Linked DNA regions of Arabidopsis thaliana. The protein of the gene in region 1 interacts with the protein of each later gene in a pairwise test. Each region holds a gene or a part of one and is shown in the gene's direction. Other genes may lie near its edges.

What was found. Proteins that work in one complex are often made in the same cells at the same time.
Region 2: the proteins of AT3G11100 (region 1) and PYE interact in binary tests that used the Arabidopsis thaliana proteins (3 or more experiments, as listed by UniProt).
Region 3: the proteins of AT3G11100 (region 1) and WRKY45 interact in binary tests that used the Arabidopsis thaliana proteins (3 or more experiments, as listed by UniProt).

The regions. Positions count from the first base shown.
Region 1 is NC_003074.8:3,475,678-3,479,935, reverse strand, and holds AT3G11100 (sequence-specific DNA binding transcription factor), read left to right. Parts: upstream 1-2,035; 5' UTR 2,036-2,615; coding exon 2,616-3,351; intron 3,352-3,432; coding exon 3,433-3,446; 3' UTR 3,447-3,749; downstream 3,750-4,258.
Region 2 is NC_003074.8:17,565,152-17,569,944, forward strand, and holds PYE (basic helix-loop-helix (bHLH) DNA-binding superfamily protein), read left to right. Parts: upstream 1-1,974; 5' UTR 1,975-2,051; exon of another isoform or gene 2,052-2,053; intron 2,054-2,324; exon of another isoform or gene 2,325-2,542; intron 2,543-2,694; 5' UTR 2,695-2,726; intron 2,727-2,843; 5' UTR 2,844-2,883; coding exon 2,884-2,942; intron 2,943-3,032; coding exon 3,033-3,136; intron 3,137-3,244; coding exon 3,245-3,372; intron 3,373-3,518; coding exon 3,519-3,950; 3' UTR 3,951-4,234; downstream 4,235-4,793. Other genes in the region: AT3G47630 (translocator assembly/maintenance protein), read right to left, coding at 1-11; AT3G47650 (DnaJ/Hsp40 cysteine-rich domain superfamily protein), read left to right, coding at 4,425-4,592, 4,688-4,754.
Region 3 is NC_003074.8:325,393-329,235, reverse strand, and holds WRKY45 (WRKY DNA-binding protein 45), read left to right. Parts: upstream 1-1,823; 5' UTR 1,824-2,076; coding exon 2,077-2,330; intron 2,331-2,432; coding exon 2,433-2,622; 3' UTR 2,623-3,284; downstream 3,285-3,843. Other genes in the region: AT3G01980 (NAD(P)-binding Rossmann-fold superfamily protein), read left to right, coding at 403-494, 618-1,137, 1,211-1,489. UniProt on the Arabidopsis thaliana protein: Transcription factor. Interacts specifically with the W box (5'-(T)TGAC[CT]-3'), a frequently occurring elicitor-responsive cis-acting element.

The DNA.
Region 1 (4,258 bases):
TGATATATAGTATGTATAAAAACAGCGTCGTGATGTATATATATAGTATACTAGTGCTAATCTCAGTCACGTGATTGTATTTCCTTAAATAAAATAACAGAAAGAGAATATTAATTTGAGTTAAACAGCTTCCACAAGTAGTACAACTGTCTGTACAAGCAAGACTCAAGTTTGAAGGAAAGTGGGATTTTTTTTTGTTACTTTATATATTGTTTTAATTTGTCTTAATTAGTTTAGGAACAATAATAAAGACTATATTAGGCAACATGCACGTACGTTTGTGTGTTTTCGAGATCCCAATGGTAGCAACTGGCAAGTAGCAACATACTAAAATAAATAGCATTGTTTAATTATGCGTACAAACGAAATTGGCTACATTTTTAGTTGCTTCACCACCTATACTTGATCATGGATTAGCTCGATTACTTGGCTGCAGGATGTGATATTTGATATTATTGTAAAGTGATTTAAGAGTAACAATAATCGATTGCGTCTAAGATTCAGTTGACAAACTAAATTGTTTTACGTTCCAACTCACATCACTTTGATAACCTGTAAATCATGATTTATCTTTTCACATCTGCGTTTTCATAAGAAAGTTTGAAATGTATAAAAGATGCATGTAAACCAGTAAATGATGATAATGACATATTTAGTTTAGAAAACTATATGTAGTGATGTTAATATGGGCTAACCCACCCCAATTAAACCCATCCCATTTAAACCCACTCCATTTAACTTTAAACTCATATAAATCCATTTATTTTTGAAACCCATTTAACCCTACCCATTTAAATTTAGTAAATCCATGTGAACCCATTTAAACCAATTAAGTGAGATATTGCCTTTTATTAATTAATTCATAAACTTAATAGATAAATAACAACAGTCCATAAACATTAGCTAAATCTGAAATATTTATAATTTACTAAAATATAGATTTCAATAACATATAATGATAATAATATTTTCAAATTTGGCAAAAAATATTTTTTTTTGTGATTTTGGCGGGAAAACTTGATTTTACGGTTTTACGGGAAAATGTCGTTTACGGTTTTGGCGGAAATACGTGATTTTACGGTTTTGGCGGAAAACACTTTTTGTGATTTTGGCGGGAAAACGTGATTTTACGGTTTTGGCGGGAAAACGTGATTTTACGATTTTGGCGGGAAAACGTGATTTTACGATTTTGGCGGGTAAACGTGATTTTACGGGTTTGGCGAAAATACGTGATTTTCAATTTTGGTGGGAAAACGTCATTTTACAGTTTTGGCGGGAAAACGTGATTTTACGATTTTGGCGGAAAAACGTCGGTTTACGATTTTGGTGGGAAAATGTGATTTTCGATTTTGGTAAAAAACGTGATTTTGGTGGGAAAACGTAATTTTATGGGTTTTAGCGGAAAAACGTGATTTTACGTTTTGTTTTAAATATATTTAGTATTTTGCTCTTTATTTTAGTTATAATTAAGTTATCTACTTTTTAATAAAAATAACTAATATAAAATAAAACATAAATGGGTACCCATTTGTTTGTGGGTAAACCCATTTATTAAATAGGTTTAATTGGGGTAACCCATTTAACCCCATTTGATATTTTTCTCTAAATGGGTTTAAATGGGTTATTTTTTTTTGCACATACCCATTTAACAAATGGCTATTCAATGCCCAAGTTAACATCACTAACTATATGCTTATTTCTACTAGCTCTTCACCAAGACCATCGTGGAAACTTTGATCGACAGAAAAAACACCTCAGCTCTTTTTTCAAATATTTCAGCGACATTTTAGTAGTTATGAGGAAACAGTAGTAGTTAGGCATGGACTAACATATCAATTGGCGAGACAGCAAAAAGACAATTAGACAAGACACGGCACGAAACATACATTATAGACATAGAGTCTACGACCTAACACGTTTGCGATGCTCTCTCTTATTACCTAACAATTCGCCTGCTTACCTATTTCCTTAATTACATCCCACCATTTTTCACTTCCAAACTTCAATTTGTTACGGCGTAACGTAAATGATCTTGTTACTGGAATACACAAAACGTATAAATTTTCTTAATATTCTGATAACATTTCTTTCTTTCCAATTATGACTTTTAAAAACCACTACCAAAACTAATACAACCTCATATTTACTGTCTTTCCTAGAATACACAAAAATACACGTTATAAGATTTCCTATAATGACATGAACTGATGAGATTCTAGCCCTAATCGTTATTATCAATCAGTCTATGAGTTTAATAATGTAATCTTATCATCATTACCCGTAGAAACGCATTAAAAGAAGCTTGAAATTGACTATAACTAGTAGTAGCCTAGTTAGTAGGACTCTCAATTTATGATTAAACCGGTTTTCGATAACCGTTTTCGATAACCGGTTTTTCAGAAATGAGTGTGATTGATTCGGTTAGCAGAGGAAAAAGAGAGAGGTAGGAGAAAGAAGATAATCGCCGTTGCTGACGTCACCGCCGGTAATCAAAAATCTCTCCTTTAACCGTAATTTCTCTTTTAACTTTACCAAAAATCCGATCCAACAGAAATTCTTATCCTAAGCCTCTTTCTCCACCGCGCACGTTAGCCTCCTCTCTTTCCCACTCCGAGATGGAGACGACGCCGGAGACTCAGTCGAAGACTCACCGTCTACCGGCGGGAAGAGAGGATTGGTGGAGCGAAGACGCTACGGCGACATTGATCGAAGCTTGGGGAGATCGTTACGTCAATCTCAACCGGGGAAATCTCCGGCAAAACGATTGGAAAGAAGTCGCCGACGCCGTCAATTCAAGCCACGGGAATGGCCGGCCAAAGACCGATGTACAGTGCAAAAACCGGATCGATACGTTGAAGAAGAAGTACAAAACTGAAAAGGCGAAACCTTTATCGAATTGGTGCTTCTTTGATAGACTCGATTTCTTAATCGGTCCGGTTATGAAGAAATCGTCCGGTGCTGTTGTTAAATCGGCGTTGATGAACCCTAATTTGAATCCTACTGGATCTAAATCAACTGGTAGCTCTCTCGATGACGATGATGATGATGATGATGACGACGAAGAAGATGATGATGATGCGGGTGATTGGGGATTTGTGGTGAGGAAGCATCGTAAAGTTGAAGATGTAGATTCGAGTGAAGGATCAGCCTTTAGGGAGCTAGCGAGATCGATTCTGAAGTTAGGGGAAGCGTTTGAGAGAATCGAGGGGAAGAAGCAACAGATGATGATTGAATTGGAGAAACAGAGAATGGAAGTTGCAAAGGAGCTTGAGTTACAACGAATGAATATGTTGATGGAGATGCAATTGGAGCTTGAGAAATCTAAACTTGGGAAACGAAGAGCTGCTTCAGGTAAAGTTTTCATTTTTATGTGTGTTTTGTTGTGATTGATGAGTTTACTGAAACTTCAGTTGTGCTTTGTTTGTTGTATAGGTAAGAAGTTGTAGGATTGTAGATTGTGGAGGAGTTACTGATGTGAAGCAAGGAGCAATGGTTGGATCTAAAGCTCATACGATTTGGAGAAGATGTTATTATTATTGATCTTTAGGTTTTCTTAAGTTATAGCGCGATGCTTTTTTTCTTCTTCTTCTTTTTCATTCTCTTTTTTAGCATTGTAGAGTTACATTGGTAGTAGCAATGCGAATTACCAAAAGAACTCTCATAGTATCTGACATATCAAGATGTACTTTTGTGAAGTATCAATGTATGATGGTTTGTGTATCAGTGTCTGCAGTTCCAAATTGTGCTCATCTCTCTTTCTGTGATCTGCAATTACTCTTTTGCTTAGGCAGGTTTCAGGAATGTGTACAGACTTAACAAGATGCGTAGAACGGTTCTGAGGAGAACTCTTATCAGAGTCATTCATAATTCAGTTTGGAATTTGATCAAACCCACCAAGCTATTGATTTGGATGTTTGCTTATGTGACTTTGCTGCACTCTGGAATCTCCAGGACAAGACTCTTGTGGCCTGAGGGAGACGAGTTGACACATGAGGCTGTATTATTGGAGCCTCAAAAAAGAACATCATAGAAGCATATATATCAATGTTTCATGTTTGGTAGAATTTCGGGATGACATAAGCATGTGCTCTCCTATTCATACCTGACTTACAAAGAAGCTCTTCATCTAAAACACCTCACTTTACTCACCTTGGCCTACCACTTGGTCCAAAACTGGTAAGGACTCTGACCTTCCAAGGCTCATCTTGTACCTGAGTTATCTCATCGCATGTGATGGTTACTTTTGAAGTTAAAACCC
Region 2 (4,793 bases), about 14 Mb from region 1:
GTAGTTTCCATTCAGACAAAAATAACCCTTGTAATGTATTCAACTGGGCAGACCTATTCAGATGAAGAAACGTAATAAAAAGGTTGCTTCTGATAGATTGGTCAAATTTGATTTCGAGTAATCTAATTAAAGTTTCTACAATTAAGTTCATGATCATTTGATCATTTTGATTTCAGATTGACACAAACCTTGGAAAAAAGGAGAGGAACGAAGCCAGAGGAGGAATTAGGAAGCGTTAGTTGATTTAAGAGGGGAATTGAAGAAGCTTACCTGCGACTGCGAGTGAAGGCGGCGAAGAGCGAGGAAGAACAACAAACGCCGTGAAGCTAGCTTTTTTGGGTTTGGGCCAAACGAGATTAGTTTCTAACAGATGTTTTTCCGGACCCGGACCGGTAATACCCACGATCCGCTTAATTATTTGGTCCCTGTCTAGCTCTAAAATCCCGGTGCAAACGAACCGGCAAAACCAACGACCTAGCGGTTCGGTATTTTGTTTCTGAAATCTGAACCCTCCGATTTGTTCTTCTTTTTTTTTTTCTTTTTATAATGCAAACAATTGATGAAAAAATATATTATGGTCCGAATGGTAACCTCGGTTTTTAATATGTGAGAAAAGTGGTATAACATTGCAGTACAGTTCAATTACGGTACGTGCGAGAAAAATATATTTGCGGGACAAATATGGTTTGTACAAAATAAGCGGTACAGAATAATGTTTGATTGATGAAAAAATTATTTGCGGTGCGGATTATAAATTATATATATATATATATATTAATAATTAATTATTATTTTTGTGTTAATAAATAAGCAATAACATATATTTATAAATTATTAATACATAAATAAATCAAAATATACATTTTTAAAGTTTAACATACATATTATTAAATTCGTTGAATAGTTTCATCATAAAAAATTGAAAAAAAAATCATAATTTTTTACTAGTAAATTGATTATAGAACTTATATAAGCTTATAGTGGATAATAATTGTCAAAATTTCTATAAGTATTATGATATTTCTATTTCTTGTAATTACATTTTCTTAGATTTTAATTAAATAAAAAGAATAAAACTATAATTATTGCATATATATATATATATATATATATATATATATATATATATTAAAGTCCATTAGTTAAGCAAATTGTTATGTCCTACGTATATTTTTTTCTTTTATGCACTAGGTAACTAGTGATTCTGATGCACACATATACTCTCTTTTTTTGTACATATATTTAAATGGGGAAGCTAATGGAAAAAAAATTAAAATTTGCTTAAGTAATGGAGTAATAAACGAGGGATGTGTGTATGGAAGAGGCAAAGGCTGAGAAACTTTTGGTTGGGACGTAGGACATAACAATTTGCTTAAGTAATGGAGTAATGAACGATTTTTTTGTTGGAATGCGGTTTTGAGCAAAAACACTAGGTAAATGATTTTTCTTCTTTTGAAAAGCATTCCAGTGTATTGTTTTTAGGACAAAATTGCAAACTTTTTTCTTTTTTTTTTCGAAAAACGCAAATTTGTTAAAAGTATTGATTGGTAACTGTATTGTAGTTTTAATAAAAAAACAAGAAAACGCCTTTTGTATGTTTCTTAATCACAGTGTATGAATGGTGACATAGACCGCCCCCAAAACCGTACCGTAACTGTAACAGTATAAAAAATCTCTATATATACATATATATCTATGTATTTTTGTTATTATTTGAACCGTCCCATACTTTTTCCGTATCACAAAATACAGTCATCATTCGAACCGCAAAACTATATATAGTATTTCGGTTTTTGAATTCAAAATGAAGGAGAAGAGGAATAGGCAGATTAATATAATTTCGTTATTTCTTTTTAATTTCCTATCTTCAATTTTTCCTCACCCACTGAATTTGACTATGCCATTAAAAATGTGTATACTAATCATCATACCGTCAATAAATAGAGTTTGTGGGAAACACACGACAGACACGTCATCAGCTCTCGACGGCGCGTTTCCATGCCTTTATTATCCTTCACGTTGACCCCACATGCCCCTGTTTTTTTTTTTTGGTGTTCTACGGTATATTTTTGTGAAAATGTTACTTTTCATCTACTCGATAAAATTCTTAAACAGATAGTACAACTTTTTACCCGATTAATCTGTAGAAAATACAATGTTATTTACACTCAACAAACATTTCCATTAATAGAACTTTACCCGATTTAAACCACTCTTCCACTCGATTAATATTATTATTTTATTAATTAAAGATACGATGACGTGTCCATGAGAGATGAGCTTTAGTGGCACGCAACGTAAGAGAAGAAGACAAAAGTAAAAAAGAGAAAGGCACATGTCGAACTCACGTGTCCACTTAAACGCACCACCTTCTTCTGTGCTCTCCACGCGCCTCCACACGCCCTCCTCAACTTCGGACCTTCTTCCTCCAAAAAAAACAATTTCACTCTTCATTTTCTCAGATTCTCTTATTATTTCTTCTACTCGTTTCGAATCCTAATCGTCTACAGTTTCCGACGAGATTCTCACCGGAGAAAGAAAGGTAGTTCTTTTCTCTGAATCTGTTGTGTTGAGAACTTAGCCGTAATTTTTGAGAATTATTCTTCACTATTTGATTTGACAAGAATATGGGTAATAAAGACAGAATCTAAAACACTTGCTTCAGTTTTTGAGGAATCAAAAATCACACGAAAGTTTTTTTTTTTTTTCTGCTCCTATGTTTCTTGGTGCGTTTGTGTTTATTTGACATTAGGAGTGATTGATTGATTATAAAGATGAATGATTTGTTAGATTCATTAAGATCACTGTTCTTTTTGATTAATCATCTTATGTCTAAATTTTAGGTGACTTGACAGAGAATCTTGTTCTGTAATAAAAGCAAAGATGGTATCGAAAACTCCTTCTACATCGTCTGATGAAGCAAATGCTACTGCAGATGAAAGGTGATTCTTAAGGAGACAATTCTTGGAAATAGATTATGGAACCTTTTATTTTTATTTATGGGGATTGATTATGTTTGGTGTATAAAACAGATGTAGAAAAGGTAAAGTACCGAAAAGGATCAACAAGGCCGTTCGTGAGAGGCTTAAGCGTGAGCATTTGAATGAGCTTTTCATTGAATTAGCCGATACTCTTGGTAAATTTCTCATCTTTCCGTAGATTTGAATGAACAATTGCTCGAGTGTGTTGTGATATTTTGAATGTGATTGTGATATCTAACTGTGAACATGTTTCTTTGTTGCAGAACTGAATCAACAGAACAGTGGGAAAGCTTCTATACTATGCGAAGCTACTCGATTCTTGAAGGACGTGTTTGGTCAAATTGAGTCTCTTAGAAAGGAGCATGCTTCTCTCCTATCTGAATCTAGCTATGTAAGTCAATTTCTATATGCACATTGATTGTGTTTATGTATTCTGTGACGTGAATCAACAACTAAGACGAATGTTGCTTCAAGAAGTTACTTCATCTTTGTATTTTTCTAAATGGTCTTGTTGATGGAAACTGGTGTTGTGTGTAGGTAACCACAGAGAAGAATGAGCTCAAGGAAGAAACATCAGTGCTTGAGACTGAGATTTCGAAACTACAAAACGAGATTGAAGCTAGAGCGAATCAGTCGAAACCTGACTTGAACACCTCTCCTGCACCCGAGTACCATCATCATCATTATCAACAACAACATCCTGAACGTGTATCTCAGTTCCCAGGACTTCCCATTTTCCAAGGCCCCGGCTTTCAACAATCTGCTACAACTCTTCATCCTCCTGCAACAGTTCTTGTCCTTCCAATACAACCTGATCCCCAGACACAAGATATCTCAGAAATGACTCAAGCGCAGCAGCCTTTGATGTTTAATAGCTCAAATGTGAGTAAGCCATGTCCAAGGTATGCTAGCGCGGCTGACTCGTGGTCTTCTCGGCTACTTGGAGAGCGGCTGAAAGCCAGTGAATGAGGTCTTGAACGGCTCCACATGGAGTAGCAACGCAAGTTATAAGACATGGCAACTTATGAAGGACTCTGGTTTTGTATTTTTTAATACATCGTTCTGATGTCCTTGTGGGTTTGGCCTTGGCTATTTCTTGTTTTTGATGGTTGTTCATAGGATCAGGAAGTTATGGCCTTGATGGGTCGTTTGAGATAAATAAGTAAATTAGCTCTAACCATTGTCATTTTCTTTTGTCTTAAGATTCTAAAAACACAGAAACAGAACAAAAAAAATCAAATTTCTTTTTAAGAAAAAAGCTTTCTAATGGAAACTAAAATGTGAAATTGGGTTTAAAAGACAAAACCGGTTAATAGGTTTTGGTTTGGATTGGATAAAGAATATGATGGTATTTTGGTAAAATAGGCACTTGAGAAAAAGAGAAGTGAGAGGAGCCATCTTATCTTTGCTATCGAGTGGGTAAGAAGAATCAGAAAACAGAAAATGGCGAATTCACTATGCTTCTTCTCTTCTCCTCCTACCTTTTGCTTCCAATCTCCAAGCAAAAACCCTAAACCTTCTCACTTCTTCTCAACTAATGATAACACCTCTTCCTTGGTACAGAAGAGAGAACTGCTTCAGACTTCAAGATCCCAAAGTTTTGAAGTTAAGGTTAGAATTTTCCCAAACTCTTCTCTTCTCTATAAAATTTGCTTACTTCATTGACCATTTCGTTAATGCAAAATCTCATTCTGTGGTATCAATAGGCCGCAAACAATAATCCTCAGGGCACTAAACCAAACAGTTTAGTTTGTGCAAATTGTGAAGGGGAAGGTAAGTTCTTACCTGTTTTATAATTCTCTTAGTTTTCTA
Region 3 (3,843 bases), 3.2 Mb from region 1:
TAGGATAATAGGATATGATGGAATTTGGTTGGGGAACAGTGATAACTTACGCTTGCTTCCGGCGCCGGGAAAGTTGGAAAACCTACAAAGTACAGAAATGGATCTGGGCCTTGAAGTGGGCTTTTTATTAAAGAAAAAAATACATCTCCGTTATCAATCACCATCTTCTTCTATCTACAAATTAAAGAAGGTAACAACAGAACGTGGTGGATCATGTGGTTAGGCATTAATTATTTGCTTTGTTTCGCCGTTTTGGTAACACACAGACACAGTTCCGGTAAGAGCTTTTGCAGCCACTCTTTATAGTTATTTAGAATTGGCGATCGAATCAATCTCACTCCCTCCCTCCCTTAAGTCTTGTTGAATCTGCTGAATTGTTTTATAAAGAGTTACTTTGGCAAAATGGAAAATCCGGCGAAGAGAGTGTTGATGACATCCAACGGCGACGAGGTGTCCCGAAACATCGCTTTCCATCTAGCCAAACACGGTTGCAAGTGAGTCTCTCATTTTGTCTTCTTTCCTCCTATCCTGTGTTTCTTCTTCTAGCCCCGATTTGTGTTGTGGTTGACTTTGGTGTCTATAGTTAACCTTCAAAAAATGCAATGTACTGTTGCTAGGTTGGTAATGATGGGAAATGAGGGTTCCCTAAGGAGCATTGTAGACAAGATTAGAGATTCCATTGAGGGAGCCTTCCCTGCCGATGTTATAGCACTCGACATGGAATCTGACTCTGAAGTTGCTTTTCATGCCGCTGTCCAAAAGGCATGGGAACTTTCCGGCCATTTCGATGCTTTTCTCAACTCTTATACCTACCAAGGTTTAATTTGCTTCTTGTTTTTCACTACCCTGCCTTTGATGCTCTTGTGTGTTGATCATTCCTTTATTCAACAATCTTTCTTTCTTGCAGGAAAGGTGCAGGACATTCTTCAAGTCTCTCAAGATGAGTTCCACAGAATCACAAAGATCAATCTCACCGCTCCATGGTTTCTCTTGAAGGCTGTAGCCACAAGGATGAAGGACCATGGATCAGGAGGCTCCATTGTCTTCATGGCCACTATCGCCAGCGGAGAGAGGGCGCTTTACCCTGGCGCTGATGCCTACGCTTCAACTTCTGCCGCTATTCACCAGCTCGTCCGGGTATGCATCCTAGCTCCTAATTAGACACATCGCGTTCGTAACTTGAATATGTTTGTTGATGATTGGGTTTCAGGCATCAGCCATGAGTCTCGGGAAGCACAAGATACGGGTCAACATGATCTCTAGAGGGCTGCATCTGGATGATGAGTATACAGCTTCTGTGGGAAGAGACCGAGCGCAGAAGCTGGTCAAGGACGCTGCACCCCTCGGCCAGTGGCTCAACCCGGACACAGACCTCTACTCCACTGTTATCTACTTGATCAGCGATGGCTCACGCTTCATGACAGGCACCACTGTCTTGGTGGATGGAGCGCAGTCCCTTACGCGACCCCGTCTCAAATCCTACATGTGATCAATGCCTAGTATTATTATAATTCTATGTTGTGTGTAAAAAGTGAATATGAATCAAGTTTGAATAACTATGGAGGGATGAATAATCCATGGAATCAATGATTATATACTTTTGACAAGTATAGAAGAAAGCAAAGAGCCAAAATAGTCAACAATCTCAACATCATTCGAGCTCATTGTTTATTGAATTCAATCAAGTTTGGTAGGTGAACCTCAAATACACGTGATATTGGATATTATCTTGGAAACCTTGCTAATCCAAATTGTAAATCAAATAAGAAAAGAATGATTACCTCAGAGATCTAGATGCATATTGATTCTTGACCAAGAAATATGTTTGAAATTTGAATCCATTGAACCAAAATTTGAAGGAGTTGCATATATAATAATATAAATCAGAATGATGTAGCCGCCACACCTTTTTGTTTCCACAAAACTCTTTTTCTGTGATGGATCCGCTAATGTAGCCATATTTTCAATATATATCACTTTCTCTGGCATCTTCGCTACCGTGTACGTCTCTCTTTCTCTCCCTCCCCTCCTTGGCTTTTTTCAAGTTCCCACCATAAACGCAGAGGGAGTTAAGAAATGGAGGATAGGAGGTGTGATGTGTTGTTTCCATGTTCATCATCGGTTGATCCTCGCTTGACAGAGTTTCATGGGGTCGACAACTCTGCTCAGCCGACAACATCATCCGAAGAGAAGCCAAGGAGTAAGAAGAAGAAGAAAGAGAGAGAAGCGAGGTACGCGTTCCAGACAAGAAGCCAGGTTGATATACTGGATGATGGATACAGGTGGAGGAAGTACGGCCAAAAAGCAGTCAAGAACAATCCATTCCCCAGGTACGTACTTAATCATCAATGAATGATACTGTATGCTTGCTATGGTGATCAAATAAGAGACTCATATACATACATGTAAAATATGAATATATATATATATAGGAGCTATTATAAGTGCACAGAAGAAGGATGCAGAGTGAAGAAGCAAGTGCAGAGGCAATGGGGAGACGAAGGAGTGGTGGTGACGACATACCAAGGTGTTCATACACATGCCGTTGATAAACCCTCTGATAATTTCCACCACATCTTGACACAAATGCACATCTTCCCTCCCTTTTGCTTGAAGGAATGATTAGAGGAATTGGATTGTAATATTTACTTTCCCAAAAACGTTGGGCTCACACCATCAGACCTTTACTTTTAAACTAGCAGCAACTCACATATCTCAAAAATACTAATCCTTATCTTTGTCTTTATGGGACCTTTGAATCCATCTGCTTTGGTGTCTTAGTCTCGGCTGCCCTGTAATCGAAAGTATATTCATCATCAAATTACCAAACATAAAGAAGCAATGATGAGTCTATCATCTACAAAAACAATGTTATGTATCCCAAACCTACCGATTATTCCAAAACTAGTGACAAGCTAAGGATATTGTGGAGATGAAGATGAGAAAGAGTACGAAAGCTAACTTTGAGGTTTCTTCTTGGATCCAATTGCGAATATGCTTCACGTTTCGCTTTAGAACGGAGGACGCTTTCTTTGTTAGGCCCATTAGCCTGGGCTCTCGTGTTTTTCATAATGTCAAGTCAGCCCAACAAGCCCAAATCTTTACAAAAAGAACCAAGGACCATGTCATCCGGAATATGGTGATATTATTGGATTATACCATTGGACCATTTAACACAAAAGCAAATATGCAACAGAATATATATAGATCACATAACAGTCAGAATCTTCTCAAAAGATATGCTTTCTTCCTTTTCTATTCTAGAGTGTTTTGATGACATCGGCACGAAGATAATGTTATTTTACAGATTTAGCTAATTAAGTCTTTCGTAATAATTATCAAACTCAAATTGTTGCGTTTTAATTTACCGCCGCCACAATACCGCACGAAGATAATGTTATTCGCTTGTGAATTTCTTTATATTAATCTCTCACGAATAAATTAATTCACATTCTTACATAAATCGAAACTTATCCACATTTTCTTGATTCTTTTCAAAAGTTATACGAAAAAGTTAGTTACACAAAATTTATTAAACACGGATAAAATAACGGTTCCTTAATCTCAACACTTTCACTTTTTTCCGAACCCATTGAATGGAAAAATGTTATGTTCTTTTTTTATATAGCAATTGGGAAAATATGTTTTGCAATGAGAAATTGTAGAGTTTGCGGCTTTGCGCCATCCATTATTTCATATAGAACTTAGAGAATAATATATCTATTAATTGAACTACAAGATATATCTTATAAATTTTCTCCGAGATATTTCTCATAAATCGTCCGTATCATCTGTCTACCGCGGAAGATAGATAATTAAGGAGCGTAAATATAGTGCGTAAGG